Arabidopsis thaliana: one gene and its partner. The protein of the gene in region 1 interacts with the protein of each later gene in a pairwise test. Each region holds a gene or a part of one and is shown in the gene's direction. Other genes may lie near its edges. The genes, in order: AT3G52640 and AT3G18250.

What was found.
Region 2: the proteins of AT3G52640 (region 1) and AT3G18250 interact in a protein complementation assay, tested with the Arabidopsis thaliana proteins (one large-scale study listed by BioGRID).

What each region holds. Positions count from the first base shown.
Region 1 is NC_003074.8:19,506,798-19,526,077, reverse strand, and holds AT3G52640 (Zn-dependent exopeptidases superfamily protein), read left to right. Parts: upstream 1-5,533; 5' UTR 5,534-5,660; intron 5,661-5,735; 5' UTR 5,736-5,787; coding exon 5,788-5,872; intron 5,873-5,962; coding exon 5,963-6,076; intron 6,077-6,160; coding exon 6,161-6,275; intron 6,276-6,836; coding exon 6,837-6,919; intron 6,920-7,067; coding exon 7,068-7,144; intron 7,145-7,545; coding exon 7,546-7,623; intron 7,624-8,241; coding exon 8,242-8,313; intron 8,314-8,415; coding exon 8,416-8,489; intron 8,490-8,587; coding exon 8,588-8,720; intron 8,721-8,827; coding exon 8,828-8,899; intron 8,900-8,985; coding exon 8,986-9,105; intron 9,106-9,323; coding exon 9,324-9,395; intron 9,396-9,501; coding exon 9,502-9,642; intron 9,643-9,832; coding exon 9,833-10,449; coding exon of another isoform or gene 10,450-10,453; exon of another isoform or gene 10,454-10,735; coding exon 10,736-11,000; 3' UTR 11,001-11,205; downstream 11,206-19,280. Other genes in the region: AT3G52660 (RNA-binding (RRM/RBD/RNP motifs) family protein), read right to left, coding at 1,343-1,487, 1,578-1,663, 1,752-1,930, 2,016-2,223, 2,352-2,531, 2,713-2,853, 2,927-3,043, 3,121-3,480; AT3G52630 (Nucleic acid-binding, OB-fold-like protein), read right to left, coding at 11,482-11,546, 11,636-11,894; AT3G52620 (uncharacterized protein), read right to left, coding at 12,522-12,671, 12,852-12,965; AT3G52610 (GATA zinc finger protein), read right to left, coding at 13,531-13,991, 14,246-14,414, 14,768-15,565; CWINV2 (cell wall invertase 2), read left to right, coding at 16,805-16,988, 17,136-17,144, 17,240-18,509, 18,605-18,719, 18,804-18,998. UniProt on the Arabidopsis thaliana protein: Probable subunit of the gamma-secretase complex, an endoprotease complex that catalyzes the intramembrane cleavage of integral membrane proteins such as Notch.
Region 2 is NC_003074.8:6,250,639-6,264,668, reverse strand, and holds AT3G18250 (Putative membrane lipoprotein), read left to right. Parts: upstream 1-6,242; 5' UTR 6,243-6,261; coding exon 6,262-6,492; 3' UTR 6,493-6,609; downstream 6,610-14,030. Other genes in the region: CYP77A5P (cytochrome P450, family 77, subfamily A, polypeptide 5 pseudogene), read right to left, coding at 644-720, 821-882, 962-1,295, 1,462-1,678, 1,981-2,091, 2,228-2,659; AT3G18260 (Reticulon family protein), read left to right, coding at 3,165-3,279, 3,465-3,645, 3,767-3,908, 4,010-4,079, 4,172-4,341; AT3G18240 (Ribosomal protein S24/S35), read right to left, coding at 6,974-7,175, 7,252-7,666, 7,993-8,394, 8,619-8,859; AT3G18235 (uncharacterized protein), read left to right, coding at 9,368-9,516, 9,607-9,643, 9,739-9,812, 9,940-9,997; AT3G18230 (Octicosapeptide/Phox/Bem1p family protein), read right to left, coding at 10,698-11,487, 11,964-13,174.

The sequences.
Region 1 (19,280 bases):
GAGACGTTTGGCTGACTTTAGTGAACCAAGAAACTTATCAGCGATGATAAGAGAACCTTTAGTAAAATATGCCTCCACCAGCTCCGGCGCATTCAGACAAAGCTCAAAATCTTTATTTAACCCTTCGATTCTCAAGTATTTCAAACAGGGAACATTAATCGTATATCTTCTAAACTCTTTTTTGTGAAGAACGTCACAAATCTCAAGTCTCTTCAAAGACGGGACCTCAATATCGAAATTCACAACATTATACCAATATTCATACACAACCAAATTTTCAAGAATAGGGCAACTAGATAACAAGTTACGGATAGATTCTTCATCTTTGTAGCTCACAGAATCAAGGTGCAGAGTTCTAAGAGATTTCAAAAGAACCGGACAAGGTATGTCTACATGAATCCCAAGTATGAGTTTCAAAGTCTCAAGTGTGTTACAAATACACAAGCTACTCGGAAATGTGAAGGTCTGCTTCGGGGCAACATAGAGTACCAATTCACGCAAATGTCGAGCAAACGCAATTCCTATCCAAAGTCCGATATCTACAGGATTAACTGACTTTCATCTAAAACTGAGATGCAAACTCTTTAGAACCGGAGCTTTGAGTGAAAGGAAAGACTTGCAAACAATCTCTGAAAATGTATAGTGTTCACTTTCGTAATCATCAGAATCGAACTCGAGATTTGGCACCAACTTCCATAGAGACCGCCATTGTTTAGACAAAACACTCGTTGCTATGACAAGTTCTGTTGGAAGAAAAGACAGAATCCGCAGAATCAAATCTTCAGGCAACTGATTCATCCTATCCTCCTTCGTAAAACCTTGATTTCTCATCGTTGTTATGGCGTTTGCTTTTCCGGTGTTATAATCGTATTTCAAACGCTCTAAACGCAAACACGAAAATTAGAAGAGATTGAAACTCACCAATTGTGAGACGAGACGGCGTTAGAGGATACAGAATTGAACAGCCGGCCGGTAGGGTTTTGGATAATGCGGGGCGGATACAAATTTTGCTTTAATATGATGATGACGTGAGTGATTGTGCTAATTTGAAACGATAACAAGTTTGGGCCTTTATTGGGCTTTAGTAAGCCTGGACCATACATAAAATAATCAGAAAAAGACATGAATAAACAAATTATTTTTTAAAAAACAAACAGGAAACCAATGATATACAGAACACGAGTTAAACGAACCCCATTGCTACCCGCAAATTCTTAAGAGTCACACAAAACTCAAAACAGATGGCACAAAGACAAAAACACAATGGTTAAAATTGACTTTTTGTTTTTCGTGTCTTGGTTGGGGTGTTTTTCCCAATAAAGAAAACATAATTATGAAATTACTAATAAGGATTGTAACGGCTTCGTCCTCTACCGTTGTCACTACTTCGTTTGCTGCCGCTGCTGCTGCTCGAACCGCTGCCTCCCCTATACGGTGGAGAATGCCTTGGTGGTGGTTGCGGCATAGCTGCTAGTCCAGGCTGTTGCCTATAACATTCAACACGTCAGATCAGTACATGTGTCTTATATATAGGAATCGCATGAGATCAGTATAGAGGAATATAGAAAAGAACTTACAAGACGTATCCGATTCTCCCATCGGGTAACATGATTGGCATCATCGACATTCCACCGGCTGCGTGACCTCCGGCATGCATTAATGGCTGCACAATTCCCACAAATTTAGGCTTAAATTGTTATAACGTTTTCTCAAAAGATAATGATTTGATTGATAAGTAGTAGAAATCTCACTTGTGAGTAGGCAGAAGCTCCAAATCCACCGAGAGCACCAAAGGGACTAGGAGCCATGCCATAACTAAGAAGAGGAGGATAGTTTGGTTGCAATTGTGATTTCTGCACATTCTGAACTGTATTTGTATTCGTCTTTTGATCAGCTTGAGGCTTTGCCAGAGTACAATCCAACATATGACCTATATACAAATGAGGATACAATTTGGTATTTAGACATCAAAAGATGTGAGGATACGGAAGAATATTATTCGGAATGGAACATACCATCAATCTCATATCTTTCAGTGTTTTTCAAAGCTCGCATGACACTTGTCCTCTCTGCATAATGCACAAATCCGTATCTACTGTCTTCCTTTCCTGGTTTTGCTGGTGGGATCACCACTTTCAGTATTTTCCCGTGATGTTCAAATAATGCCTTTAGACGCTCTTGTGTTATATCTCTAGGTAAGTTCTTGATGTACAATGCCTTGACCTGCAATCATTCCACACAGCATATTAGTAAGATCTTTTTCATGGTTTTGAAAGAAAAACATTTGAACACATGTCTCTTTGTTGCTGCTTCTATTATTTATTAGTAAGAAAGGTTCTAATGAAGCAAACCTGGGAAGCCGAAGAATCTCCTCCTCCTCCACTCCTTGATTCAGCCCAGCTTACAGTTGGGGCATTATCATCAAGCTTAAAACTCGGATTTGACATTTTTTGTTTCGAGTATTCAGCACATGCATGGTTGTAATACTCGATGAAAGCAAATCCACGATTCCGGCCCATATTTTGTGGTTCCTGTGATTTTAACAAAACCAAATAGAAAACCGATCAACTGAGTGAGAAAGGCATGTCTTAAATTTCTATAGAAAAAATACTTCTGTAAGTTACAAATTACACATGAACTTGAGATGAAAGTTACAGAAATAACTTAATAGACACTATAGGCTGAAACTTATCCAAGTTGCAGGAGACAAACCTTTGGGAGTTCGACAATTTGAACGCCTGGACCAATTCTATTTGCTGCTTTCTTAATGTCTGACTCCATCCAATTTCTAGGGACATTACCAAGAAAGAGACGATGCTTTGCTTGGGTAGTCGAACATTTTATCCTTTTACCCTATTGAATTACATCAAGTAAATAAACAAATAAGAGCCAGACAATTTACTAAGAATCAGGTCAAAGAACTTACTCTGAAGTCAGTGTTATTTAGAGTATCAATTGCTTCAGCAGCTAAGTCCTTACTTCTGAATGTTACAAATGCATACCCCTTTCCATCACCAGAATCCTTTTCCCTCATTATCCTAACCTGTTGATATCACACCAAACTCAGCACAAGATAAATTAAATCACAACCATAGTTTAGGTAAGAAGATGTCAAATTACCTCAGTAACTTCTCCTATAGATCCACAGAAGCCCTTTAAGTCCCCTTCAGTAGCATCAGTAGGAATCCCTCCAAGATAAACCTCTGAACCATGTGGAGGAAGTGCAAGAAGTTCAACATGCCTTTTCTTTTCTTCTTCCTCTTCCGTTGCAACAGCATCCTCCTCCTCCTCCTCTTCTTCCACTTCAACCTCCTCCTCTATCTCCTCTTCTATCTCTTCAATCTCCTCCTCTTCAACTTCTTCGTATTCAACTTCCTCCTCCAGAATCTCCTCAGGATCATTGTCACCATCAAGGTCTACCCTTTCCTCAGATTCCATGGAGTCATGAGCCTCAGAAGCAGCAGTCCTCGTCCTTGACATCTTAAATATCTAGAAAAGAATGCTTGCAGTACAACTGTGGAGGAGACACAGAAGCAAGAAGCAAGTGGGGAGAGAGAATAAAACCGAGGAAAGGTTGGAAAAGAAACAATAAGAGGCCAATAGAAAAGAAGAATAAGAAGTTCGAATTGACGCTTTGCCATAATGCGGCTAAAAAGGTGACAAACAAATAGACAAAGAGAGAAGAGGGCGATGAAATGCTCAACAGGTGAAACAAAAAAAGATAAGAAACGAAATGACCCCTGAGAGCGGATAAAAACCATGATATCATAGGCCTTGGTTAGATGCAAAGAAGGTTAAAATATTCATGGCAACAAGAAAGATAAGAAGGGCTAAAGTCAAAATAGTATCTTTGCTTAGAAAACTCCAGCTCCATGTTAGAATCTCCCACAACAGACATTGTTCAGAATTTGCAAGTGATATTTTTTATGCTGCCAATCTAACCTGTTAAGAGAATCCTCAGCTTATAACTACAATTCTATTTGATTATTTCACACAAATTGACCACAATGATAGATACAACCAAGAACAACCCAATACACATACAAAGCTATAACTCAGAGAAATGTCAATCAAAGGCGTGTTTAAGCTAACTTAGCAATCATTGGAACAAAAATGAGAGAAAGATTCAGTTTTTAATTAAGATAAGAAGAGTTACACAAATCCCAATTTTGGATCCCCAACCAAAAAAAAAGATTCACGAAAGGAAACGAAGAGAGGCGCAATGAGATGAAAGAAGAAAGAGCGAGAAAGTACCTGAGAGAGCTGCCGGAAGAAAACCCTAATTTTGAGAATTACGGAGAGGATGAAGAAGTGTCTATCTTCGCGCACCTCAGGTGTTGAAAAATATGTATATGTGTATGTTGTATTGATATGACCTAAAAGATGCCTAAGCGAGACTATCAAGGAGGTGTAGTCACTTTTTATTATGATGCGACCAATCTTATATTACGGCTTATTACCGATCTTAATATACGACAAATTTGATTTTTATGCAAAAAAAACTTTCAAGTTGGATGAGAATTTGCGCCTTATATTTTTTTTACACATTGTTTTCAAAATTAACACTAGTTTTTTCTTAATTAACATGCAGTTTATACATGATCTACGTTATTTGTTAAAATCACATATGGAATAATTTCTTTAAAATTATAGTTTTACCATATACAATATGTTTTTTTTTTTATCAATTTTTAGCCAAAACTTGCCTATATAATCTAGCAAATAATACCCTAATCAATCATAATTAGTCTACGATTTTGTAAAAATGAAGCCATAAAATGTAATACAAATTTCTTACAAAAAAAAAAAGAAAATGTGGAATGAAAATATTTTTTCTTTTTGTATAAACAACTAGATTATAACCCGCGGTACACCGCGGAGACAATTATTTTTTAAAATTAGTATATATAAAAGTCTGTAAATTATATTTATCTATAAAATATTTATATTTTATAGTTTACAATTGTTATTAAGTAACATCCTTCCAAACCCGTTCTGCCAAACCCGTCCCGTTAAAAAAATTTGTAGTACACCGCTAATTTAAAAAAAAAAATTACGGGATTGCAATTATATTTTAGTTTGTCAAACAAATTTTTGTTTTAAATAGTTGTCGAAATCTAATTCAAATTTTGGAGAAATAAGATTTAGTGAACTGATAAGAAATGTATTTATGTGCGTTTTGCTCATTTTAAGGGATTGCAATTGTATTTTGGTTTGTCAAATATTTTTTGTTTTAAATAATTTCCGAAATCTAGTTCAAATTTTGGAGAAATCTGCGTGATATATGGGATTGGAATATATTTGGAATATTTTTTGTTTGTTAATCAATTTATTGCTAAAAGAAAATAAATAAATAAAAGCCAGTGGCAGCCATTGTAAATAAGTTCCAAATCTAGGATTTATTTTACAAAATGGCTGCAAAAATATATATATAGATAGGTTCACTTAATTACTTTTAATATAATAAAATCCGCACAAAATGTGAATACCTCAATTTTTCTATATCTTGGGAATTTTGAAAGACATAAGAATCAACACGAAAAATCTCAGTCTTTGACTCAGACTCCCACCGCGTAATTCCGAGCTAGGTTTCCATTTCTCCGGCGAATCGGACCTCTCTCTCGCTCTCTCTTCCAATTTCCCCTTTTTTCGTTTCCCAGGTACTGCTTCTTCCGATTCTAACATTTTTTGATCTTTTATAAAATCGGTCACATTATTCTTGATCGTATCTGCAGCGATGATTTGCAAGTAGCTTCCGCTAATAATCGCAACTCTCTGACGGATGCTATGGCAATGGGACTTATTCGTCTTCTTTCTATAGCTTTTACACTTGTTCTACTTTCAATCCTTCCTCTTCATCTCTCTCTCGCTGGTGAGTTTCCTTTCCCCGGATAAAATTGGTGATGAAATGTATTAGTTGATAGAACATTGTAATCTGAAATTGAGGTTTCGTTTTGTGTAGATGAGATAACATCTATTGAATCTGTACCTGACCTTCAGAAGCTAATGTATGTTGCTGTTGATGGGTTTCCTTGTGTACGTCTTCTCAATCTGTCTGGAGAGATTGGATGTTCAAGTAAGCTTCTTTTGGGCCTCTCAGCTACATGATTTTTATCTGTTGATGAGGTCCTCTAAGTTTTATGTTTATAAAAATACTCAGATCCTGGAATAAATAAAGTGGTGGCTCCAATCATAAAATTAAAGGACGTTAAAGATTTGGTTCAGCCACACACTATTTTGGTTACAGCTGATGAAATGGAAGATTTCTTTACCAGGCATGTCTCCTTTTTCATTTACAAAACTTTCATGACCTCTATTCGATTTTGTTAGTGATCTCTTAATTTGTGGAGTAGTGCTTTCCCACTCGCTTGTAGTTCTCATTTTGGTGTTTTATTTAACGTCAAACAAGATTTAGCTTTTGGGTGCCAAATCAGCCTTTTTGGAAAGGCAATTACATCCTTAAGAATAACGTATATCTAAGAGTTTGTTTTCATTAGTACTTGAGTATTTAAGGCAAACACTTTTAGTAATCTTCCATGACAGTGAAACAACAGATTGGAATGAGTATACCCTCTTATCACCATTTTTGAAATCTGCTAGAAATGTAGTCACTTGGTTGTTGGTGCATGGATTAGGTGTTTAGTGGAACCAGTAATTCATTGGCTTTTTCCGCTTTATTTTCATTCGACTAACGGAAAGTAGGTATACCTCCAAACACTTTACTGTAGAACCCTGCAGTCTGGCTTACTTCTGGCATTGTTCATTAGACTTGTACATCGCTTAGACACTCTATTCAGTAGAAATAACAGGACCACTCCTCTTTGTGCCTTTTCCAGGGTGTCAACTGATTTGAGCTTTGCTAGCAAAATTGGTGGTGTTCTAGTTGAATCAGGATCTAATTTCCAACAAAAGTTAAAAGGTACTATGTCCATCCACATATTTATGATTCTGTCAACTTGAATGGCTAATTCCTTAAATTGTCTTGAGTTCTTAATTCCCTTAAAAATAGTACTTGATACTTCTTATCTATGTTGATGGCGTTAGTGTTTCTTTCTTCTTTATTGTAGGGTTTTCTCCTGATAAAAGGTTTCCTCAAGCCCAGTTTTCACCCTATGAAAACGTTGAGTACAAATGGAATTCAGCTGTACGGTAGCGTAAACTCTGTCTGGATCTTTGAAATTACTTCTTCCTGTCAACTCTTTTATAGTGGGTTGGAAATTGTTTCAATCAGTTATCACCAAATCCATAGTCAAGCATTTCCGAGTTATATGCTGTTTTCTTCTGGAACTAAACTTAACTACCTGCTAACACACAAATACCATAAATCCTTTTCTTATGGTATAATTTTACTGGAGGAATGCATGTATCTGCCTAGATGATCACTTATAAAGAAGTTCAAAAATCTGTTGCATATTTATCTACCTTAATTAAAAGATAGTTCCTCTTATTGTTATCTACGGAGAAAAAATGATTTTGATTCTTATGAGTAGTTGCAGGCGATAAGTCTCTAGCCATTGACCATTGCTAAAAAATGATTATTTGCAGGCATCAAGCATCATGTGGAGAAATTATAATTTTCCTGTGTACTTATTGTCAGAAAGTGGCATATCAGCTGTGCATGAGGTAATCCTTCAAACTTGCATTCTTTTGCAAATTTTAAATGTGTCTATTTGTGTTGTCAGAAAAGCGAAATTGATGACATTTTTAGAAATATGAGGAAATGAACTCAAGGCTTAGAGAGGCATTATGACTGTTGGTCACTCTTAAGAGCAGTATTGCTTGATGAAAATATGGCTGTAAAATGATGCATGAGATATGTATCTCCAAGGTCATATGAAATGAATACTCCTAGTTTAAACTGAATTAGTCTGCAGAAATTTTTCTAAGCATTGATTACCCATTTTAAATAAGAATACAAATTTGGTCCTGGAATGTTTGTCTCATCCAGCTGAAGGCAACTCCCAGCTGCATCTGTAGATTTCAAATGCATGTTGCTTTCCATAGCCTGTAATTGGACTCAACCATAGCCTTTCCATTTGTCTTGTGGTAGTTGCCTTTAAACTGCTGGTCAACTATGTCATTCTATAGTATGTTGTTGTCCTTACCAGATGAGGTTCTGTCAAGAAGCTAGCTTTATGTTTCTGTTGTGTTGGTAGCAATCTAAAGTGTATAGTTTATGTGGATAGCTTCACTTTTTTCAGGTTATCGACTACATATTTACATCCTATTATATTTGCGCAGATCCTTTCCAAGAAAAAGATGAAGCATGGAACATATACCAGTGATGTTGCTGAATTCAATATGGTTATGGAGGTATATGGCTTTAGCAATCTTGCTCACTGGAACGTTAACCAGCTTTATGGATCTTCACTTTGACTTAGATTATGACACCCAATTCTCTATTTTTTGTATTAGACTACCAAAGCTGGAACACACAATTCGGAGGCTTGTTTGCAGGAGGGAACTTGCCTCCCATTGGGCGGATATAGGTAAAGATTTAGGTCTTTATTACTGTCTGATCTAATGACATATGAAAACCTTTTAAAGGATACGTTTCGTTTTCTAACAACTTTGTTATGAAGGACAGTGTTTGGTCCTCGCTTCCACCAATCAGTGTTTCGTCTTCCAACAATCGCAAACCAGTTGTGCTGACTGTGGCCTCCATGGATACTGCATCATTTTTCCGTGACAAAAGTTTTGGTGCAGATTCACCAATATCTGTGAGAACTTGCTATTTTCTGCTTTTGGGTTGATCTAGAATACATTTATTTACTCTTCTTATTCTTCTTTTCCCGATTTATTGCTCAACACGTTCTCCTTCTTTCAGGGTCTGGTAGCTCTTCTAGGAGCAGTTGATGCTCTTTCTCGAGTTGATGGTATTAGTAATCTCAAAAAACAGGTGCCAGTGTACCATGTGATTTAGTGTTATTTCACGCTTTTTGTTGTTTGCAAGCTTTAATACATGTAAATCGTAAATGAATGCAGCTTGTGTTTTTGGTTCTGACCGGAGAGACATGGGGTTACCTTGGCAGCAGGAGGTTCTTACACGAATTAGATCTGCATTCAGATGCTGTCGCAGGCCTTAGCAATACTTCGATTGAAACGGTAATCATTATTGTTTTGGTCTGACAAAGTTGATAGAGACAGCTAGCCTTATGCATGAAATCCCTGTGGAAAAAGTTGCCTGTGTTTCATCGTTGCTGCAACTTATTTGTTTCTTAGTAGCGCAGAAAGCAAGTTTAAGTGTTCCTTGTGAAATTGAATGTTCACAATTTTCTAAATCTAAAGATCGAATTCAGATTGCTTCTTCTATTATCTAACAGGTGCTTGAAATAGGATCTGTTGGAAAAGGTTTAAGTGGAGGGATAAACACCTTCTTTGCTCATAAAACAAGGGTGAGAAATTCCTGATATCCTGAAACTCTTGCATAATTCGAATTCGTTCGATAATGTGAAAACTGTCATAGGCGACTTAACCTCCACTTTTGGTGTTCTGCTTTAGGTTTCTTCAGTTACAAACATGACACTGGATGCTTTAAAGATAGCTCAGGATTCACTTGCATCAAAAAACATCAAAATTCTTTCAGCAGATACTGCAAACCCTGGAATACCCCCATCCTCCTTGATGGCTTTCATGAGAAAGGTACAATATATATTCCAAGTAAATAGATGGGAAGACAATTCAAATGTGTATTCGCACTATACTCTTTGCATATACTTCACCTTCAGTTGATCATGAATATGACAGGAGAAGTATACTTGCTTACTATTATGTGATTCTGAACCAGATTGCCTAGAGTGAAAAAGGTATAACATCATATTCATTGTTGCAGAACCCTCAGACTTCAGCTGTTGTACTTGAAGACTTTGATACCAACTTTGTGAATAAGTTCTACCATAGTCACCTCGATGACTTGTGTAAGAAGAGTCACAGCCTGTCTTTCTCTTCTTTTCGCTCCAAACCCCATTTTGCACTTTTGATTCCTTTCTGGTGTTGTATTGCAGCAAATATCAACTCCTCGTCTGTAGTAGCTGCTGCTTCTGTTGTGGCCCGAACACTTTACATCCTAGCAAGTGACAACAAAGATACAAGCAATTCAGCTCTGGGATCCATCCATGTCAATGCTTCTTTCGTTGAAGAGCTTCTAACCTGTCTTTTAGCTTGTGAACCGGGCTTATCTTGCAACTTGGTAAAAGACTATATTTCACCGACAAACACTTGTCCAGGCAACTATGCTGGCGTCATCCTCGGAGAACCTTCCTCCAAACCTTACCTTGGTTACGTCGGTGATGTTTCTAGATTCCTATGGAACTTTCTGGCAGATAAAACATCTGTCCAAAAGGGAAATACAACCTCAGTTTGTTCAAAAGGAGTCTGTAGCAAAACTGACGAAGTGTGCATCAAAGCAGAGAGCAACAAGGAAGGAACATGTGTTGTCTCCACAACCAGGTAAACTCTGTGCTTGGAAATTGCAATTTGGTTTGCATGCTCAAGTTCTCTCTTATGTCTCAAAATGAACCAAAATCTTAAGTCTGGTAGGCATTTTATAGGAATTATTAATTAGGATAGGCTTCAGAAGTGGAGTGTTTTTAGACTTGGGAGAAAGTCTATCTTTAGTTTGTTGACCTTTGAATTGAAGCTATCATCATTTTCTTCTTCCCCTGACCTGATATGTTGTATGTGACCTAACCAATTTGCTGTCTGAGCATAACACATTAAGTTCTGGTTTTGGCAGGTATGTTCCAGCTTATTCAACTCGATTGAAGTATAACGATGGAGCTTGGACAATTCTACCACAGAACTCATCAGATTCTATGGGGATGGTTGATCCAGTGTGGACCGAAAGCAACTGGGACACTTTAAGGGTGCATGTGTACACAGTCCAGCACTCAGCATACGACAATGCAGTCCTCGTTGCAGGTATTACAGTCACAACGTTGGCTTACATCGGAATTTTGGCTGCTAAGTCAATCATCACAAAAGCCTTGAAGCAGGACTGAGACTTGTATTTAATTCCCTCTCCTCTCGGCTCAAAATTACTTGTCAGTTTCCGTAAGACATTGCCTAACCAGCAACACCACCAATACCTTAGTGGTAGAAACCTTTTTTCTCAACCAAGGTTATTAAAATATGTCTTTGAGCTAATTCATGTTAAATTCTTTATTACACTGGCAAGAAATTTATAAGAAAAAAGTTTGCTTTCACAAAATCCTATAGATAAAGCAACAATACAATTCTAAATCCAGAGCAAAATCTTAGCTGCCAAGAAGAAAATAGTGTTTTGTTTTGTGTTTTGGTACCTCAATTAACAAAACAGCAATTTAAGCTTAGTTGTGATAGATTAAGAAGTTGTTACATATACTAAGTAAATAAAATCATAGAACCAGAAAGTGGTGAGACATCAAATACATATAAAGCATAAGCATCTCTACAAAATGTTTTAATGGAATCGCTTCCATGATCATAATCATCATCACAACATTAGATGAACAAGTGCTTGAACTCCCCATTTGCTAGCTTACATAGCTCGTTGTAGTTCTGTGTATCTGCAACCAAAAATAACAACCAAAACATCAAAACACAACTCAATAGCAAATCTGATAAACTCGACACAGTAATGGAATCACTAAATTACCAAAAGTGTTGCCAAAATTGGTCCAAGTTTCAGCTCGAATAGCGTTATCACTCTCTGCAATTCCAATAACCTCAAGGTAAGTAGTAAGAGGAGAAGGAGGAGACGATCCTCTAACAACGATCTGAAGATCATCAGTAGATTTGCCAACCACAGATCCAATCTCTGAACCAGTCACTTGAATCACAGTTCTGACTTTTTGGCCAATGAATCTCCTCAACAAAGCTCCGTTCACAAAAGCTGAAGGACTTGAAGTATCCATTGCTATCTACTGTTCAAAGATTCAAAAGCGAATTGGTAAATCAGTTTCGTATTCAATAGCAAAGATAAAGGGATTAAAAATTTTGAAAACCAGGAAATCGATTTTGAGAAATTCAATCGAAGGGAAGAGAATTGATTAAGAAGATTTACCTTGTTGGAGAAGATGAATCGTTCGTCGGAGTTGCAAATGATTAGCCCTAACTTCTGAGGACTTTCTAGGCTTTGAGAGAGTTTATGGAGAGAATTTGGGCGGGAAATGAAAAGCTTCACATGGCGCCAACAAATATGAAGAGAAACAATGGGACCAATCGTTTGATTATGGGCCTGTATGTATTGTACCCATTGGGCCTTTTAGGTGTTCCTTGGATCGTTGAGTTTTTTTCACAAAACCAGAATTCGTTTATTTTTGATGTTGGTACAATTAACACATTCATTAAACGCATTATTCAAACCATAGTTTGAAAAAAACAAAAAATGGTATTCAATTGCATTATTTAATTTTAAAAATTACATATAAAAAAATATAGAGATTTTAATAATTATTATATAATGTCAATAGTTATTTTTTTCTTAATTTCTTATGTAAGAAAAGTTACAAAGGAAAATTGAGAAATTAACTTGTATAAGATCATTTATTCTCTTTCAATTTCTTGGTTATAGCAAAAGCGGCTCCTGCGACGGCCACAATCACTGCTGATACTATGATCGTGTTTTTAAGCGTTCGTGCCCCATCTCTCTTTGCCTTTGCGTTTTCCCTCTTTTCTACGATTTTTTGTACCTTCACATTTCAAACCCAAAAGTAAATATATAAATCTTGTACATGGAAAAGTGATAAAAGCTTTTAATATTTGGTGGTTTATTTGAAACTCATGCAAAATCAACACATCCATTCAATAATGAGATATCATAAATCTTGTCATATATAAAATCTAATTAAATTCTATAAGCAACTAATTACCTTTTCAGAAGCAATCTCTGATGAAACAGGATCTACTTCGAAATTCTTGTTTTGGCCAGGATTAAGTTCAGCTTCTGCATCGCCTTCAGGAAAAGTTGTTGTATCCGTTGCCATTTTTGACACTATGATTTTTGTTTTCTTACAAAAAGATGATTTGAACACAAATTAAAATGAAGATAGCTTGAAACTGAGGCAAGTAAGTTTGGATTTTGTGGCTAAGTCTTGTGCTCTAAAAATAGTTTGGAGTTTGCTGATTCCATAAGCTTTCTTTAGCTCAATTCTTAAATTATTGTCCGCAAATATTGCTGATTCCACTGAAATGAAATATTTCAATTTTCACTTTCTATATTTTTTTCCTCAATTTTTATCAGTTTCACTTCCACCTTATGTTTCCAATCTAAAATCCTATTTTTGACAATAAATGCTCACTTTTTTTTCAAACATTTTGGATGGTTGAATTAAATTTATTATAAAATAGAATTGTGTATGACAATATTCATCTAACATATTTCTTTGATTTGAATTGTTTTCTTAAAGAATATTATATTATTCTATTCATGATAGATGTTTGCAATAATCTATGAGGAGAATTTGAAGTTAATTTATTTCGACTAATTTTTTTACAGAGACCATCTATGCCTCTGGACAAAAGAGAGAGTTTTGATTGTCAAAACACAAATCAAAAGGAAGAAGCAGATCCTTCCAAAAGAATAGTTTTCATATGTTGAATCAGCCCATCCATCTGCTCTCTTGAATGCAATGGCGAAGGATACACAAACGCACAGTCCAATTTTCCATCCCTAAGCGCATCGAAAACCGCAACCGACGGTCCAACCCCGTGGATAGACGCGCATCCAATGTAATCTTGCACCCCAAGAGAAGCCAATTCAGGCTCTGGAGACTCGTCGATAACAGGATCTTCAAATATGGAGATGAAAGCGGTTCTCAGAGAAGAGGAAGGCGTGAGATTAGGATTCTCTATGGCCTTGCACATTAAGAAATTGAGATCTGACATATCAGTGAACTGCTTGTTCGAGTTCTTGGAGGATGTGAACGAGTCGTAGCATCTTTTGGCTAGGTCCCAGAGCTTTTCTTCTCCGGTTAAATCGTGTGTATGAAGGATCCCTGCATGGTAGAAACCTGGAAACAAAATAAGAAATATATCAAGTTCAAATCATAAGATCAATACTACAACATCCAAATCAAATTGCATTTGTCCATTGTTAGTTTAACGAGTTTGAAAATGTCTAGTAAGAACTACAAAAATGCAGTCTTGAACCGTATCATCACTAGCTCATAAAAAATTTGTTGCAATCATGAGAAGATAATCTATGAACATCTATTCCTCATATATATCATCAAAGGCTATAGTAATCCCAAATTTTCGAGCTTACCAAAGTCATTTGAAGTAAGAGGAGGTTCAAGAATGGAACGACAATCCGAAAGAGTCACCACGGCGTATTTCTCTCCTTGGTATGGCGGTAGATTCTTCGAGGAATACGCAGCGATTAACGCCGAGGACGCTAATGCCGCCCATAACTTTAACCCTCTTGCCTTGCATCCCTACAAATAGTGATTGAATTGCTCCAACTTTTCAGAAACAATCTAAAGCTTTTTTAGCACAAACCATCATCCTCTTAGTCCTTTTTGAGTTACAAACTAAATGTAGAGCCCTTCAATGTATGCATATGTAATTGCAACAATGAGTATTTGTAGACTATGGATTACTCAAAATTATGTACATAACAATAAAATAAAAGTAACTATTATTTTATTTTTTATGTAATCCTCGTGAGATATTTATTTTATATTCATACACGCAAAAATGGTAACAAATACTAATACTCTATGGTTAACACGTAATAATAGTAATTAGCACATAATTAATTAATCGAATGGTGTGGAGAGTAACTTACAGCCACAAGTTTGAGAGTCTGATCTCTATCCAATTTGAGCCTCACCAATTGCGATCTCCGGTTCGAATTCTCTGCGTCCACGAAATTCAAATTCGAAAACCGAAACGCGTTTAACGAGTAACCAAGCACGTCGATGCCACGCGCCCAGAACGGTTTATCCCCTTTCCCACTCGGAATCAGCTCCTCTATCGCCTTACCTAATCCCACCGCCGTCTCCGTCGCCGCCACCACGGGACCGTTTCCGAAACCATCAGCCGCCGTCTCTTTCATAAACTCTCTCAGAAGCGTAACCGCCGCAGTACGATCGACCGCCGCCGTGTTCAGCCGAAATGTGAGTATCCGTTGCTCTCCGTCGTCGGTTAGATCGTAGAGACTGACGATAAACACGCGTGACTCGGATTTGATCCAACGGTGTGGATTGATCCACGTGTTTTTGTTCATCTCGTGTTCTAGGATGATTCTGTGTGGATCAGCGCATGGATCGTCGCTGTCTCGGATGATCTGAGCCGTAGATACGGAATCGAAGGGATGGATTTCGACGTGAGAATCGGCGGCGGACGTAACGACGAAGGAGAAGGAGTTAGCGGATGCGTCGAAACGGATGTTGGAACGGAGAGTGGGGTGGTAAATCTGGAGTTTGTCGAGGGTATTTTGGAGATTTTGGAGTTTTGGTGTTCGGGAAAGTAAGAGAGCTATGACGGCGATACCTGTGCCGCCGTCAATCGCTCTGCACCAGCTGTACTCGGTTCCTCCGACGGGTCGGGTCATGGATTTGGGTACCCGATTTGGCTCACTCATTATCCTTGAGAAAGAAGAGAGATTGTTTTCACTTTTTTGGGATTTTAAGATTTTACTTGTATCATATATTGTCAGGTGGGTAAATATGGGGAAGATACAGTGACGTACCTTTTACTCGGTTAAGTGTAATTTTTCCGGTTTATCAACCAAATAGAAATGATTTTGCATTTACGAATTTAGCGTCTTTAATTTTACGTTGCTCACGTTTAGGCAATACTATATAAACCTCTCCCTATATTTTAAGGTCAAATAATTGGATTTTTTTTTGGTTTTTTGGAAAAGGTTTAAGTGGAACTATTTGTTTTACTCATGCATACTCACTCAGCTTGCAACATATATGGAATGTAGATTAATAAAGATAAAACACACGAGATGCTCTTTAAGAAACAACAGTTTGAACGATATGATTCTATAGATAGCCTTGAAGAGTACTGTCAAGTAATATCTCTTATTCATATAGATGGTTTGGATTTTACACTATAGATAGCTCTTTAGCAGCGACTCTATTGTCAAAGAATCGGATTCAGGCGGCAGAATTTTGGTTGACAAGAGATAGATTAGCATCAGTCAATCTTCCTTAGAAGAATCCATCACCATCCTGGCGACGTGGGTTATATAGTATGTAGAGTACCTAATGGAAAACTACAATATATAATTAAGGACGTACGACCTTTCTTGTGCTGTTATGTATTTCGATTGGTTCTGCTTAGTGTTTTGATAGATAGATCATGGGTGGACTTAATTAGTTTAGTGTAATACTAACTCTCTTCTCCTGCTCTCCAATTGACGTACCCCTAAGTCCAGACAAATGTGAAACAACAAACGAAGGAAAAAAAATAGACAAAACAAAACTCTGATCTAAAACCAAAATTAGTTTTATCTACTATTTTCCTCGATATTACTATTACTTACCTTAAAACAATTGACCAAACTATTTGACTTTACACCTTTTCTTTTCTTCGACAAAACCAATAAAAGAATTGTTAAAAATGGATTAAAAAGACAACAAAAGTAAATTGATTGCAAACCACATTGTGTACTTCTTATTTTAGCGTGAGATTAGGATTATTTTACGGATCCATATTATCTTCAAAGTACTCTACTTTTCCCTCCTCTTTTCTTCTATATCTTTTACGAAAACTATATCTTTTTCATCAGAGAGTTCTTTCTCAAAAACTATTTACACATCAAAAATAAAATCAAAATAAATTGTTGTGATCATAGAGTTCTCTTGCACCAATGAGTGCTCCAAAGTTTGGTTATGTATTACTATTGATTGTATTAATCAATATTAGCAATAATGGCGTCGATGCATTTCACAAAGTTTTCAAGAAATTGCAATCAAAATCGACATCATTGGAGTCAGTAAGTCCTCTTCACAGAACCGCTTATCACTTTCAACCTCCCCGCCATTGGATCAACGGTACAACATATGTGACATCTTATTCAAGTTCATATTTATTCAACTTCTATTACTAGGGTTGTTTATATCAACCAAAATACATTGTTCTAACATAAATTCCTTGGGTTTGTTGTTTTGCCTTCGTTATGGCATTCTTGACTCCAACAGATCCGAATGGTAAGTCCATTACAAATATTTTTCCCTTTTTATAAGTTAATGACAAAAACATTATATATATGATTGCATGTAACAATATTCAAAAATTGCAACAGCTCCAATGCTCTACAAGGGAGTTTACCATCTCTTCTACCAATACAATCCCAAAGGTGCGGTTTGGGGTAACATTGTGTGGGCTCACTCGGTTTCTAAGGACTTGATCAATTGGGAAGCCCTTGAACCAGCCATTTACCCATCCAAATGGTTCGACATCAACGGTACATGGTCCGGTTCAGCTACCCACGTACCGGGAAAAGGACCGGTTATCCTCTACACCGGTATCACCGAGAACCAGACTCAGATTCAAAACTACGCCATTCCACAAGATCTTTCCGACCCATACCTCAAGACATGGATAAAGCCAGACGATAACCCCATCGTAAAACCCGATAATGGCGAGAACGGATCCGCTTTCCGTGACCCGACCACGGCTTGGTTCAACAAAAAAGATGGGTATTGGAGAATGCTTGTTGGCTCAAAGAGAAAGAACAGAGGAATTGCTTATATGTACAAGAGCCGTGACTTCAAAAAATGGGTCAAAAGCAAACGTCCTATCCACTCAAGAAAGAAAACCGGTATGTGGGAATGTCCCGATTTCTTCCCGGTATCCGTAACCGACAAGAAAAACGGTTTGGACTTCAGCTACGACGGTCCAAACGCCAAGCATGTGTTGAAGGTTAGTTTGGACTTGACCAGATACGAGTACTACACTCTTGGAACGTATGACACCAAGAAGGATCGTTACAGGCCAGACGGTTACACTCCTGACGGTTGGGATGGTTTGAGATTTGATTATGGTAACTACTATGCGTCAAAGACATTCTTTGATGACAAGACGAACAGAAGAATTCTTTGGGGGTGGGCCAATGAATCCGACACCGTTCAAGATGATACCGTGAAGGGTTGGGCCGGAATTCAGCTTATCCCAAGAACAATCTTGCTTGACTCTAGCGGTAAGCAACTCGTGTTTTGGCCTATTGAAGAGATTGAGTCATTGAGAGGAAAGAATGTCCAAATGACCAACCAGAAAATGGAGATGGGCCAACGCTTTGAGGTCCAAGGAATCACTCCTGCTCAGGTGGATGTGGATGTGACATTCAACGTTGGAAATCTAGAGAAGGCCGAAAAGTTTGACGAAAGCTTCGCAACTAAACCACTAGAGTTATGTAACTTGAAAGGTTCGAATGTGAATGGTGGAGTTGGTCCTTTTGGTTTGATCACGTTGGCTACATCTGACTTAGAAGAATACACTCCTGTTTTCTTTAGAGTCTTCAAAGATGCCGCATCCAACAAGCCTAAGGTTCTCATGTGCTCTGACGCCAAGCCGTATGTTTTCCTAACTCACTAATTCAATTATTTATATATGATTTTTGTTAATTACAATTTGAGAGTGTCTAACATTAATCACAATAAATCAACAGTTCGAGTCTCAAAAAAGACACCGGGACTGACGCCAAGGAGAGGATGTACAAACCATCGTTTGCTGGTTTTGTGGATGTCGGTCTCCTTGACGGAAAGATCTCTCTAAGGAGTTTGGTACGTCACAAACTTAAATCATTTTACTGAATATTACTCTTGTATAGAGAAGCAAATAGGTAACATAATTGAGTGAATTTGCAGATTGATCACTCGGTTGTGGAGAGCTTTGGAGCAAAAGGAAAGACAGTGATAACATCTAGAGTGTATCCGACAAAAGCAGTAGGAGAAAAAGCTCATTTGTTTGTCTTTAACAACGGCTCACAACCTGTGACCGTAGAGAGCCTCAATGCATGGAACATGCAGAAGCCTCTGAAGATGAACCAAGGTGCAAAGTGATCACATCATTCTTTAATTTTTTCGTTGACAAATTTAATTCATTCGTTAAAACAGAGAGTCTGTCACAATATATTGTAGAAAAAAGGAACCTATTGTGTTTCTTTTACAATCAATACAATTTGTACATAGTTTATCACTACTAACAATGTATTGATCTTATATTTTATTAATGAAACACGTCTCCTAATCACATAAACGGTCATTATTTCACGATACTTGTATAGATTGGAATTAAGCAAGAATCTTCCGTAATCGATTCAGAATAATAGAAAACCAAATCCT
Region 2 (14,030 bases), about 13 Mb from region 1:
TAAATTCTTTTGGTTGGGCTTTGTATTCTATTTTGGATTCTTTTCAAAACTCAGATGACCATAAAAATTGACATTTTATTTTCTGTAATTAGCCAAATAATATTTTCTGTAATTAAAAATAAATAAATAGCTAGTCCAGTGTTTAATTGGACCTTTACCAGAAATCTCTGTACATCTGTTGAGATTTTCACGCCTCACCAGTCACCACTACACCTACCAGTTTTGCTCTTATTTCTTCCACAAGAAAAGCAATTTCATTTTCACTTTCTCTCTATCAATACTCACAAATAATGACTAAAATAAAAGTCTGGAATTAGTTGACAAAACAGACTCTGCAAATGAAATCCCCAATAATCAAAGATCGAAACAAGAATCACATATTGTGATCTATTATAAGCTCTGTGACTTAGACCTGTGTTGTGTGTTTCAGACAGATATCAAGCAGATCACTGTAATGAATTCATACACTTATTACTCCCTGGGGCTGAAGTTACAAAGATTCTAGATTACATACACTCTCAACTAACACATACTGAGAATTTAGGACCAAGATTAGCCTTTACAAAACCCAAAACCAACATTAAACTTACGATTAAAATCCTATTGAACAAAAGAAAAGGGACCTAAGTAGACAAAAGGAATTTCACTGAGCAACATCATTCCACTGAAGATATCCTCCGTGACCGCCTTCATCTTTAAACTCATAGACAGCACCACATGCTGTCAACAAAACCACAAGCATTAGACTTGTTCATTTTGAATTTCAATCATCTTTTTAACAAGGAAAAATGCAAGATGAAGAAAACAGAGACTATTTTACCTTTGTAGCCACCTTGAACTGGATCATCAGCCAGAAGAAGCGGAGTGTCCAAGTCGATGAATCTGTGTATTCCTTCTTAACTTGTTAGAATTATGATGTTCACATTAGAAAGAAATGTGGTGTTTACAAATTTGAGTATACCTGAAGCATCCAAGGCCAGCAGCAAGGTGACCAGAGAACCCCATTGCTAATCTAGTCTCCACCATTCCCCCTATCATAAGCTCAATGCCAGATGATCTAGCCAATTCAATTACCTCAAGAGACTCGAGGATTCCGGTTTTGGCGAGTTTGATGTTCACAACATCTACGATATTACCTTCTATGATTTTTTTGAGATCAGTCAAGCCTCTGCAACTCTCATCTGCTGCAATAGAGACTCCGAATCTGTTCTTTGCAGTTCGAGTCACGTGACTGAGACCCTCCCAATTGTCTCTGTGGACAGGTTGTTCAAAGAGAACCGGTGTAACCTTCATTTCTGTGCAAAACAATCACAACAATTCAGGTTTTAACCGAGAAAAGAAACGCCAGCTACTAAAGTTTGAACAGGCTAGAAGTTTTCCAAACACCTATCCTTTTTTAAAACCTCTAGCGCTCAATACCTAACTGAGAAAATTCCAAAAATGATTCAGAAACCTGTTTACCATGCAGCGTCTCGAGAACTTTAACAGCTTCCTCTGTTTGATAACCCTCATTGGCATCCAAAATGAAGGAACAAGTAGGGTGGACTGCACGTATAGCCTGGAGAACTTCTATGTCAGCCTTAAGATTCTTTCCCACCTTGAGCTTCAAGGTTTCAAAACCTCGTTTTCTATACTTTGAGGCCAATACGGAAGCTTCAGCCGGAGAAACTATCGGAATCTGAGAACCACAAATCACACAAACCTTCATACTTGAGTAATTTATTAGTGTTCCCGGTGTTTTCAAGCCATTAACATTCTACAAACAATTCAAAACTTCATACGCTCCAAATTTCAAGCCATTAACATTCCATACTTTCATACTTGAGAAACTATGAATGCAGTGTTAACACACATAATCTAAGTTATAGTCATAGTTGAATCACTTTAGGAGCCAATGACTATAAACTTTAGGAATTTGTTTGCAAACACACAAAAATTGAAAGGAAATTGTAGCAGGAAGAGCTAAAGTTAGAACCGAACTGTTATGTCTGTAGTAATCGTACTTGAAGCTCCACCAAATAGTTTCCACAATGGCACTCTTACACTCTTAGCAGCTGCATCAATCATAGCCATCTCCATCCCAGCTCTTACCTAAAACCCACTTCAGAAATTTTCTTATTTTCTTCCTTGAGAGAAAGATCAAAGCCAATGTAGACCCAAAATTTGAACTTTAACTTGACCTCAAAATCACAACTTTAGCATCAACTATACAAGATGTCAGACTTACAGAAGCAAACTGATGACCAGGAAGAAATCTTCCGATCTCCTGAAGAACATTACCGAGTTTCATCTCCGGTAACTCTCTCAGAAACTCACTAGCTTCCCGCGCTTTTACCATAGCCATTATCTGATCCTCCGCCGTTACCGACGGCAAAATCGGAGCTTCTCCCCAACCCACAAATCCATCGTTGAGCTCAATCCGAATCGCAACATTACTGACAGAATCAAGCCGTGAAGAAGCGATAGTGAAAGGTGAGAGCAGAGCCACGTTCAGTTCGCGATTCTCTGCTTTAAGCACTCTCACGGTGAAATTCTCCGTCAGGGTTTTGAATTTAGACGTCTTCGACATAACGGTGATCGGAGATTTCGGCGAATTTTGGAAATTGAGAGTTGAATTGACGAGTTGTGAAGAAGAAGATGATGATAAAATCGAAAACATTTTTTGATCTCAGCGGATTCTTCATCACCACCGCGAACACCAATTTGTCGTTCCAAGCCTCGGGCAAATCCCACGGCCAATTCCGAACGGAATCATCTTAACTCCAGCAACTCCGGTTAAATCGGCGTCTTGTTATAAACCGGTTCGGTTCAAATTGCTACGGTTTAGACCAGATCTTCGGGTCTTCACTTATACCGGGAAGATAACACTCAGTTAAAATATATGCAACGTACGTGAGGGGTTTGAATAGTTTATTGAGACATGAAGATGAAGAAATAAATGGGAGAAGGAACAAGGTCAAAACCATTCCCATTCTTTGCTTCTTGAATATGTTTTTGTTACCTTTGTTCCCAAGCCTAGAACCTATCTCTTCTTCTTTCTTCTTATATTTGTTGCTTTTCACATTTTCTCCTAATCCAAATCAACTATTTTACATAGTGATTACATTCATTTCATTGTTGTTTCTTACCGCAGTAACTTTTATCTTAATAAATTTGATCCAACCATGCCAATATTTACGGGATCGTCCTCCGATTCTGAAGACGAAAGAACGATCCATAAAACAACTAAGCTCTTCACTCGTCAACGATCTATTCACTCTATATTTGGAGGTGGTAAAGGTATTTGTCTCACTCTCTTTCAAACTTTATATCGGTTCAATCGGTATGCGTGTGTGAAAGTACATGTTTATATCCATCAATTCTCTTCAAATATCACATTTTATTTTGCTATTATCCAAAATTATCACCAAAATTATAATGTAGACAAACACTAAATTTTAACAACTTGCATTCGTGATTAACAGTTGCGGATATTCTGTTATGGAGAGAGCCGAAAATAGCAGCAACATTGGTGATAGGAGTGAGCATCTTATGGTTCTTAATGGAAGTAGTGGAATACAATTTCATAACCCTAATTTGTCATGCTTCCATGACCTCCATGCTTTTTTTCTTCATTTGGTCTACTGCTTCTGATTTTCTCAATTGGTATGTTTATATCTTTACTTGATTAATCTTTTTTCAATTTCTCATGATCAATTGGTTAAAAATATACAAATTACAAGATTTCCTTACCAATAAAACGACAATTAAATAAACAAAATTGCAGGGAAAGACCACTAATACCAGAAGTTGTACTAGACGAATCTTCTTTCAAACAATTAGCAAGAAGCTTCCATGTTAGATTCAACCAAATCCTCACAAAGCTTCTTGACGTTGCTTGTGGAAGAGATCCTCCTCTCTTTTTTCTCGTAAGATATTATATAGAATAATAATTTTCCACTTATATATATATATATATATAACTTTGGATTCATTATTATTTTGCTTAAATTGGTTACTATATTTCCAGACAACGATCTCGCTTTATATCGTATCCATCATCGGGACATATTTCAACTTTGTGAATCTTCTCTTCATAGGTAAGAAGAATTAAGTCATGATACTCAACTATATATGTAGATTTAATTCCCTTTTATTAATTAACGGAATTAATGGACGTCGTGTCGTTCAGGGTTTGTAAGCATGCAAACCTTACCGGTTATGTATGAGATGTACGAGGACGACGTGGATACAGCGGCGGGTAAGTTGATGAGGAAGATGAAGAAGCTGTACAAGAAAGTCGATACGAATGTTCTTAGTAAAATCCCAAGAGGAACTGTCAAAAACAAGAAATTTACTTAATTCTGATCATTCTTTACTTATAGAGATAATGTGTTTGCTACTGTATTTATGCGACCTCATCAACCCAAATTAATATACATATCTGTTAAAAGAAGAAGAAGAAGTTAAGATCTGATAATCATCATCAAATGGAATAATGATGTGAAATTGTGAAAATCAAGCCTCTAGGGAAATAATTAACAAGAACTTGTTTATGGTAACTTTCTCCAATTAATGATATTGGTCTAGTTTTAACCTTGATGAGTATAATAATAAACTATAAATCGACCAAATCACTTGAAAAGCGGGTATCATCAGCACATCGCTGCAAATCTGTTGCACATTATATCACCATCACATTCCTAAAACCTGTTATAACGTTAAGATTTGCCAAAACCGAGCTATTTTTTTTTCAATAATAATTTTCTTCTATAAAAATAAAATAAATAAACACTAAATCGAAAGCGAAAGTGGTCGGATAAATATCAAGATACGTACGTTTGTTTACATGTATGGGAAAAAATACAAAACAAAATACCAAATTTTCGTTTTTTGTCCAAACCAAACTTTGTCTAAAATAGATACCAATTGTTCTACAAAATTGTCAAAGAGATATTTTGTTATTTTGAAAATGACAATGTTAATAATAAGTGGAGTTAGACTTTTCACTTTTGTTTTAACCTACAATTTCTCTCTCGCTTAACATCGACTATTCTAACACATTTTTCAATCTTCCTTTTTATTAAGGAACTTTAATTTTTCCAAAAATCTGAAACATACTATACCCAAAAATCGATGCTCACACCTAGCTAGTTCAAACTGCGTACGTCAAAATATGTGGTATGGACGTAAAGTATTTTATAAGTTTTGTTAGAAAGTTAGATACTTATAAAATAAAAAAATTGATATTTTTTTGGTAAAAAATGGAAGTTTGGTATTTTTTGGCAGTTGTATACATAAATAAAAATATATATTACGGAGTTATATATTCTTGTTTGGTCAAATGTTTCGGAAGCTTTTAGATTACGAAATTACATAATCCATGATGAATTAAATTTGGTTAGTGGTAGAAGAATAAGACGCCAAAAGAAAAAAGGGAAGAACATTGGGTTACGTCGAAAGTCCTTTGATAAGAATTTGATTTTGCATAGTCAAATTTGGACCAACAACAAAAATGGAGTCCACGTGAAATAGAAGAGAGAGACTTAATAGCTTCTCATGCATAAAGTTATGAACAATCAATGATAACCAATGATAAATAACTAAACAGTACAAAATCTCTGTATTTTTATTGGATTTAACAAAGGCCATGAACAATCACTTCAATATTTATAATTTTTTTAAAAAGACGAGGCAATTCAAGCTGATTTATACATTATGATTAATGATAATTATATTATGGCATTTGACTTTTCTCACGCTAATGTAAATGGTCAAAAATCCTTATCTTCAACTAAACTTCCTCGACAAAACCTTAACTAGAACTATGTATGTAATTTATCAAATATTGAACTTTAAATTTCTTTAAAAGCATAATATAATCTTGACCTATAAAATTAGCCTAGCCTTTCGAATTACAAGTTTTATATTTTTAAAGAAACATAATCTTCAACTAGAAATTATTATAAACCGGGTCCTATCTTCATCTAATATACGTGATTCCATCAAAATTCCGCAGTCAAATGTGTTTAGTTGAGAGGAGGAGAATAGTAGACTAAAATGGATGACTTTCTGGTAAGTCTTGTATTGCAGTCTTTTCTATATTTTAACAAATAAGTCTTCTTTTCTTAAAAAGAAAAATTTAATTACAAAGAAATCTTACTACTGAACGAATAATTTATCAAAAGTCAGTGGCCTTACGTACGAATTTATCGGCTATAAGTAGGAAAGCTTTTCACGTTAAACAACTTAATCTCATCCACATTAACTAGAGAAAGAGAGATGGCGAGACACTTATTAGAAGATGTAATGAGCATGGCCACCACAACAACACATTTCGATGCTAGTTACCTGTTTCATGTTGTGTTCCTGGCTGTGATCGGTTGTTGTATCCTCTCCGCTCTGTTATTCTCTTGTGCCGACGGAGTCTCCGACAACAGAGCCACTTCAGGCACCTCTACCGGTGGCGGAGGTTGTGGCGGTGCCGGTTGCGGTGGTGGTTGTGGAGGTTGAGATTTCATTTTTCTTCGTCAGGAAAATATAAACAGAACAGTCCGACCATTTTACTTTCGTTTATAGATGTATAGCTATCGTATATTGAAGCAATAATTTATTTAGTTTCCATTTCTTATCTTACTGATTGAATTTCTTTAAAAATTAGAAAGACATCTGATACAAAACCCAAACAAAAATTGTACCAATTCTTTCCTTTGGTTACTTTCATTCTGAACCCGTAAACATATCTGAAACCTTAACTTTAGGAGAGATTCATAATTCTGAGAAAACGTTAACTAGTCTCTAATAGACACCAACAGCACAGCCAAGGTTCATGTCTTCATGAGATACAACAAGCAAACCAAACTAAGATAGGAGTTACCATCAAAGATTCTTCATGGATCTGAAAAGCCATAACGGATCAAATGATTGCCAAAAGAAGACGATCCTACAGATTATTTGGTGAGACAAGAAAGGCGCTAACCGGGAAAAGTTTTGTTCAAGCGTTGATGGCATCTGATTCTTTAGACCTTATGATCTTGGCTTGTAGTTTCTGCATAAAAGCTGGATTGGCACGGAGTCTTTGTTTTACATATGAAGTTCTTATGTCTTCAGCGATCTTGTTGGCTTTCCCAGCTTCTTCTATCAACCCGTAAAGAGTTCTTAAGCAGTCTTTCCTGTTTTCCTCTCGGTGTTCAAACCTGTGACAGGACAAAAACATTTCATGATTCAACATTCTTGTCTCACGAAAAGCTTAAGATTTATAGTTATATATACCTCTCGCTGGTGATTGTAAGCTCGTCTTTCCCCGAATGGTATCTTTTCCCTACAAGTTCCCTTAGCCTTTTAGCCTGATGCTTTGAGAGCCCAAGCTCTTTCACTGTAACAGACATTTTAACTTTCCTGTTCTTTGGATGCCACGCATCACCTCCAGGAGCAAAAACTATCCTTGATTGCCACCTGAGGATTGGGCCTTTACCAGGGGGATCATCCAAGTCAGTATTCCTATCGGAAGCATCTGTTTCACCAAATTGGGGAGGACCCTCAGCTTCCATCTGATCCCCATACTGAATTACCATCTCATCTTCAAATTCCTTAAAAAGCTCATAAGCTGCTTCAGCCTCAATTTCACCTCTTTCACACATATCTCCAAGCTCATTAAACTTTGCTTCAACCTTTTTCTTCAAGTCATCTGAATGAACATACACAGTTAGAGAAATGTTCATATGTACGCATCACAGGAACAAACCAATATATTCTCTAAACGGCCCTACTGATCCGAGAAGTAACATATCTGGCATAGTACATTACCTTCTACGAGTTAAAAAAACGAATGGTTCTCAACTTCTCATACCATGATTCAGAAAAATCCAAATAGAAAGGTTAACTACAAAAGCTAAGTTCCACGAAGAGATTGTGTTTAGCTATAACGACGCACATTAGTCTATTAATCAACCTAATCTATGTCTAAGGATGTGAGTCGATGAACGGGAAGATTGAAAATAAACGAGCCATTACCAGGAAGAAGCTGGTCCCATTTGAGCATATCCTCAAGAATCTCCTCGCATTCTTTAGTATCAGTAAGACACCCATGTTGGATACCTTCTCTAATCATGTGATCCCACTTCTTATCATCCATGTTGAAAAACTCATTCTTCCTCATCTTTTCAGCTACATACTCGGGAGAATTGTACAAATCCTCAAGTTCTTCGTCAGTAGAATGTGCTTCCTCGAAATCGGATTCAAAATCTTCATCCTTGACATCATCTTTGAAAGGTAGAGACTCGATTTTTTCCAACAATTCATCATCAGTCTCTGCGTGTTTGTCTACAAGTCTTCTCTGTAGAAGTGCTTCAATAACTCCGGGTAAAGCATCTTCATTACCCTCATTGAAATACTTCTCTATACGGCTTTTAAGCTCTGAGACCACAAAATCCAATAAATGAAGTCAATTTCAAACGATTACCTACAGCTATTCTACTAGTTCATGAGATAAGAAGCTACGAATCTTGTATCGAAGGATCAATTGAAAACTATGAGGTATTGAGAAATGGTGAGATGAGAATTAAACTCACACATTTCAACTAATACAAAGGCCATTTCAAGTGTGAGGTAACCAAACAAGAGGATAGAGTGTGTTTTACCTTTGTTGCTTACATCTTCTACAACGAGATCTTTCTTCTCGGGTGAATCAGTCGGCGAAGACTCAGGGGCCGTAGTCGAGTTCTCACCGGATTCGGAGGAGAAAAATCTGAACTTGGGAGCAGCAGGAGCGGCGATTGGAGCGAGAAAGGGAACATTGGGGGAGATCTGATGGGTTATACGAGGAGAAAGAATGATTCTGCGAGCGCAGAGAGATGCATTTCTCAAGAGAGCTCCTCTCATGGCGGATCAGAGATTTAGGGTTTTAGGTTGTGACAGGAAAAAAGCTCTTCTTCATACCTGAATCTGCTACAGAACCTGAATCAATAATTTGGTTAAATGTCTTAATCTCCGGTTTAGTTTCATCTGTCCGGTTTAGTTAGCAATACATATACTTAAGGTTGTTATTTTTTCATGGTGGAGCTATGTTTGTGGATGTTGTCTTAGAAGGTTAGCTGAAGATAAAAGAGTTAAAGGGCTGTGTAATTCACTAGTTTATCAGATTCATGGAAGTTCAATATGCTTATAAGAAAACAAGTCAAGAACAGTTTATTATCAACGGGTTTTCAGCTCAAAGATGGTACAAGGTGGATACAGGCTTGGTTTGGAGCTGATTGTTGGTAAGGTCATTTAGAAGTAGACTGCAGATTTTTCAGAAATAAATTGCAGGTTTCTAGATAGGAGTTGCTGGCTGCAAATTTCAGAAAAGACACTAACGTGTAAATAGAGATGAAGTTATTGAAGTGGTTCAATGAATTCTCTAAAGAAGGAACTGAAAAGAGACATGTGTAAGTGTTGCAGGAGTTGTCTCAAGGTATTTCACTTCAAGACTATGAAAGTGTTGTGTATCAAGCCTGATAAACAACTCATCTCAAAGCTGGTGTTAGCAGCTGAAAAGAAGTCCTAGAAAGGAATGCAAATGCAGAGGATTCAAATTGCATTTAGAAGACAACAACTCATGAGCATAAATTTGTCTTGGTTGATGACGAGACAACGTAAGTGTCTACTCATGGGAAGTTATCTGCAGGTCAGTCAAGTGAAGGATTTTGTTTTTAAGAAAATGAAGGGCATTGACTAAAGACTGCAAATTGAATGGTGTAATAGCCAAATTCGTTTTGGTAGTTGCATACAAGAAGAAGTATTGCAGGTTTTTCTTTACAGCTTGAAAGATACATCAAGGATTCTAGAGTTGATATGTAAGCTGTTTTAAGGGCGTGTCTTAGGGATATCACAAGGTTTGCTGATAAGTGACATGGTAAAGGTTACTACTAGTAGTGGGTTTCAAGTTGCTGGTGTGTTCTGTTTAACAAGATGGTTGAACAGGGGTACTGTTTTGAAACTCGGTTTGTTCAATCAGGTTATTGACGTGAATCTACAATAGTATAAGCTGTTGGTGAGATTGACTACAAGTTGAATCAAAGAGCCTCAGGTTAGAGGCTAAGATGATTCTGTTTTATGCATATGATTCGAGTGAATTCAAAGGATTTTGATCTCGATGCGCATGAGGAAATCCTAGAAGCTAGCTAAGGAATCAAGTTTTGCAGAGGATGAATTGGTTACTTCAATCACTGCTACATGTTTATGGTCTTAACAGAGGCCATGGTGGAGATATGTGATTGAACGTTTTATAAGTAATGAAGCTAATGGAGATTTATGTTGTGTTTAAAAAGCTGGAATTGTTCTCTTGACTTGTTAATGGAGTTTTTTTCTTTTCTGAGCGGCAATATCAAGTTTTCAAGTGTTGAATGCATCACTTAAAGTGACAAAGCATGAAGCAACCTCAACAGATCACTTCACAGTTCTATATCTAGTATACACTGGTGTTCCATTTCTTGAGTTTTTGTGTAATCTTCGGATCAAGATAATTCCAATATAGAACTTAAAAAAATATCCAAAACATATTTATTTATCAGAAAAGAGAGAGAGACATAAGCAAACTACGATAAGAACAACGAGATAGCAAATCCTATGTATATCTAACGAGATGTAACAGGACGTTACATGTAATACGCAAAAAGAACAGAGCGCGCCGTGTCGGCTATACTTAACACTTTGCGCATTTATTACCAAAGATCCAGCGTTTAAAGCGGCTGAGACGCAGCCATATGCTGTTGCTGTTTGCCGCCGTCAAGAGCCATTTGCTTGGACATATCGGCTAGAGCTGCTGCGGCTGCTGCTGGTGTCATGCTTTGGTATGGAGACGCTAATGGAATGGCAGTGTTTGCAGCAGGAGCTTGTGTGTGGTAATACACTGTCTCGTTTGGAGAGTTTGTGTATTCAAAGGGTCCACCGTAGTTGGCGTTTGCGTTTGTGCTATGTTGAGGAGCTCCAGTACCGTAATTGGCGTTTGCGTTTGTGCTATGTTGAGGAGCTCCAGCGTAACCCATGTACTGATGCTGTTGCTGAAGCTGAATAACCTGAGGGGGAGCAGCTCGGTAAACGTTCTGGGCAGCTTCAGGTCTCGAGTTTGTGCCGGGTTTTGAGTTCGGGTAGAGCGGGGGAGTTCCTGCTGGGATATACTGCTGAGATTGTGGGACGGACATCACGTAAACAGGGTAGTTTTGTTGCTGATGAGAGTAAATTGGTATGTATTGTGATGGGTGAGGGATATACTGAACGCCTTGGTGTAAGAAAGGTTGTTGAGCCAGAGGTTGTTGTTGTTGTTGATCCATAGTTGTGTACGTACCTGGCTGAGATAAGACATGGGAGGTGGTTTGGGCTGAAGTGTTTTCAGTCTGAGGTAAGACTTGAGAGCTTTGGGCCGAGGTGGTTTCAGGCTGTGCCACTGGAGGAGCTCTTGGCAGAGCTGGAGGTTGGTCTTGGTAGTACATCGGCTTTGAAAATGAAGTAGCAGAAGAAATGCTAGTATCACTGTAATGTATAAACAACAAGAAATATCAGCATTGAGTATCATCATATTCAAAAGAATAAAGCTAACATCTCTTGTAACGTTATGGTTCAAAGAGTATACCAATATCTACACAAATATCTAGAACACCAAATTGAAAAATCTCTGATTGTAAGGTGTAATAAAACAAAGATGATGATAAAGATCATAGAAAATTCTTAAGCATTTGACAGTTTAAGATGATTTCTCCATCATCGATTCATACACCATACTTCAAACCAATGATCTATTTCTTTTAGCTACTTAGCCACTATCAGAGATGTAATACAAACCACATGTAAAGATTATAGAACAGAAACAGAAACAGTGCAAATGAAACTACAAATTCAAGGCAAGCTGAAGAAAATGATGGAGAAACTAAGAAGTTGAGATCAGAAATTACCTAGATCATTATAGCTACCTAAATAACTAGAGAGAGTCCAGGGGAAGATGAAAGTACCTTGCAACAGAATCAGGGGATGTCAAGCCATAGCCTCCAACAGTTCTAGGTGGGATCGTTACTGGTTGCATCGGCAAAGGTGGCTTCCTGTAGCCAGTTGATACACCTAATTCGGATCGATCGTCTTCAGGTGAGACATGGCCATTGCTTGCGGGAGCAGTACCATCACCAGGTGCGTTGTTATACGCCATCGCAGCATCGTTCATGGCACCAGGTGGAATCATCATTGGCCGATTTGCCATCAAGCTAACGCCATCATCAAATTGCCTCTGAGTTTGCATGTTTGAGAAGGTCATCTGTGCCAATTGTTCCTCTATCCTCTGGTCCTCACTGACTCTAACGCGAATCGGTGGCAAATTGGATGTGGAAGGAGATGAAGAAGAAGATCCTATCGAAGAACCAGCGGCTTCCATCATTGGAGAATCAGGCATCGAGCTCATATGCATCTCCTGATGCGAAATCACACCGTTAGCAACCAAATCCCCTCGCTTATTGTTCTCGCCACCAACATTAGTTTCAAGGTTTTGGATCTCGGTCTCTCCGCCGCTAGCTTCGTCGAGATTCACCAAGGTATTATTCACGGCGGCGGAATCTGATAAACCACGAGGAAGCAAACCAGATTGATTCAGAGCATCGACGAACCATGTGTCAGATTTCGTGCCGTCAAGCAGAGATCCCATAGTAGCGGCGGTCTCGAGCTTGTTAGCGAAAAGGAACAACCGGAGCCGTTGCGTAGCAGTCGCCGTCGCTGACGAAGCCGCGCGATCGTATTCCTCGATCATGTTCTCCAGATCTTCATCGGTAGTGATGGTGACGAGTGAATCGAGATCTTCGCTAGGGAGCTGGTACTTGAGAGTAAAGGACCGGCCGTTGAGAAGCATACTAGAGAGACGAGATCGGAGCGAAGACAGTGACGCACGTCGATCAACAACCACAATACGAGTCTCGCCGCCGGAGTACGTCAACGATTTGTCGTGTGGACGAGGCATGATGTGGCCACCAAAACTGCACATAAGACGAAGCTTAGCGCCGGGAACAGCCGCAAGTGGCTCAGGAATACCTCCGGTATCAGTAGCAACGGCGCGTGGAGATCCATCGATCGGTTGCTGAACGGCTACGCTCTTAACTGGCGCCGGAATAGCGGAAGAGACGGCGGCGGCGGGAGTAGGATTTGGGGTTAGTTGCGATAAAGGAGGGAGTGGGGTCTCCATTGGTTCGATAACGACGGGATAGGTTAGTTGGACGGATTTATATATTGATAATTCGAAACTAATCCTTTATTAATCGTCAACATAATCACTATTATTATTATTAATAAGAAAAATAAATTGTGATTTGTATAAAAATAAAATAAAGATGAAACGTTAGATTCTCTGCAGAGTAAAGTGAGCTGGAGAAATTTACAGAGATGATGATTCATCGCCAGGTAATTTATATTTATAAATTTGGTACCATCAGATTTATATTTTATTAACGTAATGACAACAAAAAAAGTACATATAAAGCTGTTTACGCGTATCTAAATTAAAGTTTTTCTGAGATTTTAAGATTGGTTTTTCTGTTTTTAATTAATTATTAAAAAGATCTAAGTTTTTGTCGGCAATTGGTTAAAGTATTGTTACATCTGATAAAACAATACAATTTGGAAATTAGTATAAATGTATTTGTATCCGAATATATAATGTTGATGTTTGTGTTTTAGAAAGCTGTGTACTTAAGATAATTTTATTTTATTTGATGTAGAATGTTTAGTACTGTATAATATGATTATTTTGTGTCCTTTGACATGGTTTAACTTCTTTACGAGTTCCAACATAATCCTAGCTTGATGGCTTGCTGCAATTCACAAATTATTTTTATAAAACTGTAACGAGGAAAGAAGAAAAACAAAATTATGTTCACAAAATCACAGTTCATGTAAGAAAGATGAAAACAACTAATCTTGAATATTTTGAGTCTGATCTCTGATTGGCGGTTGATCGTAGAAGGTGCATCAGCAAATAGAGGAACTAGTCTCATTGCTAACAGTGTTACGTCTGACGGGACGCTTCAGTTTTATGTAGCCTC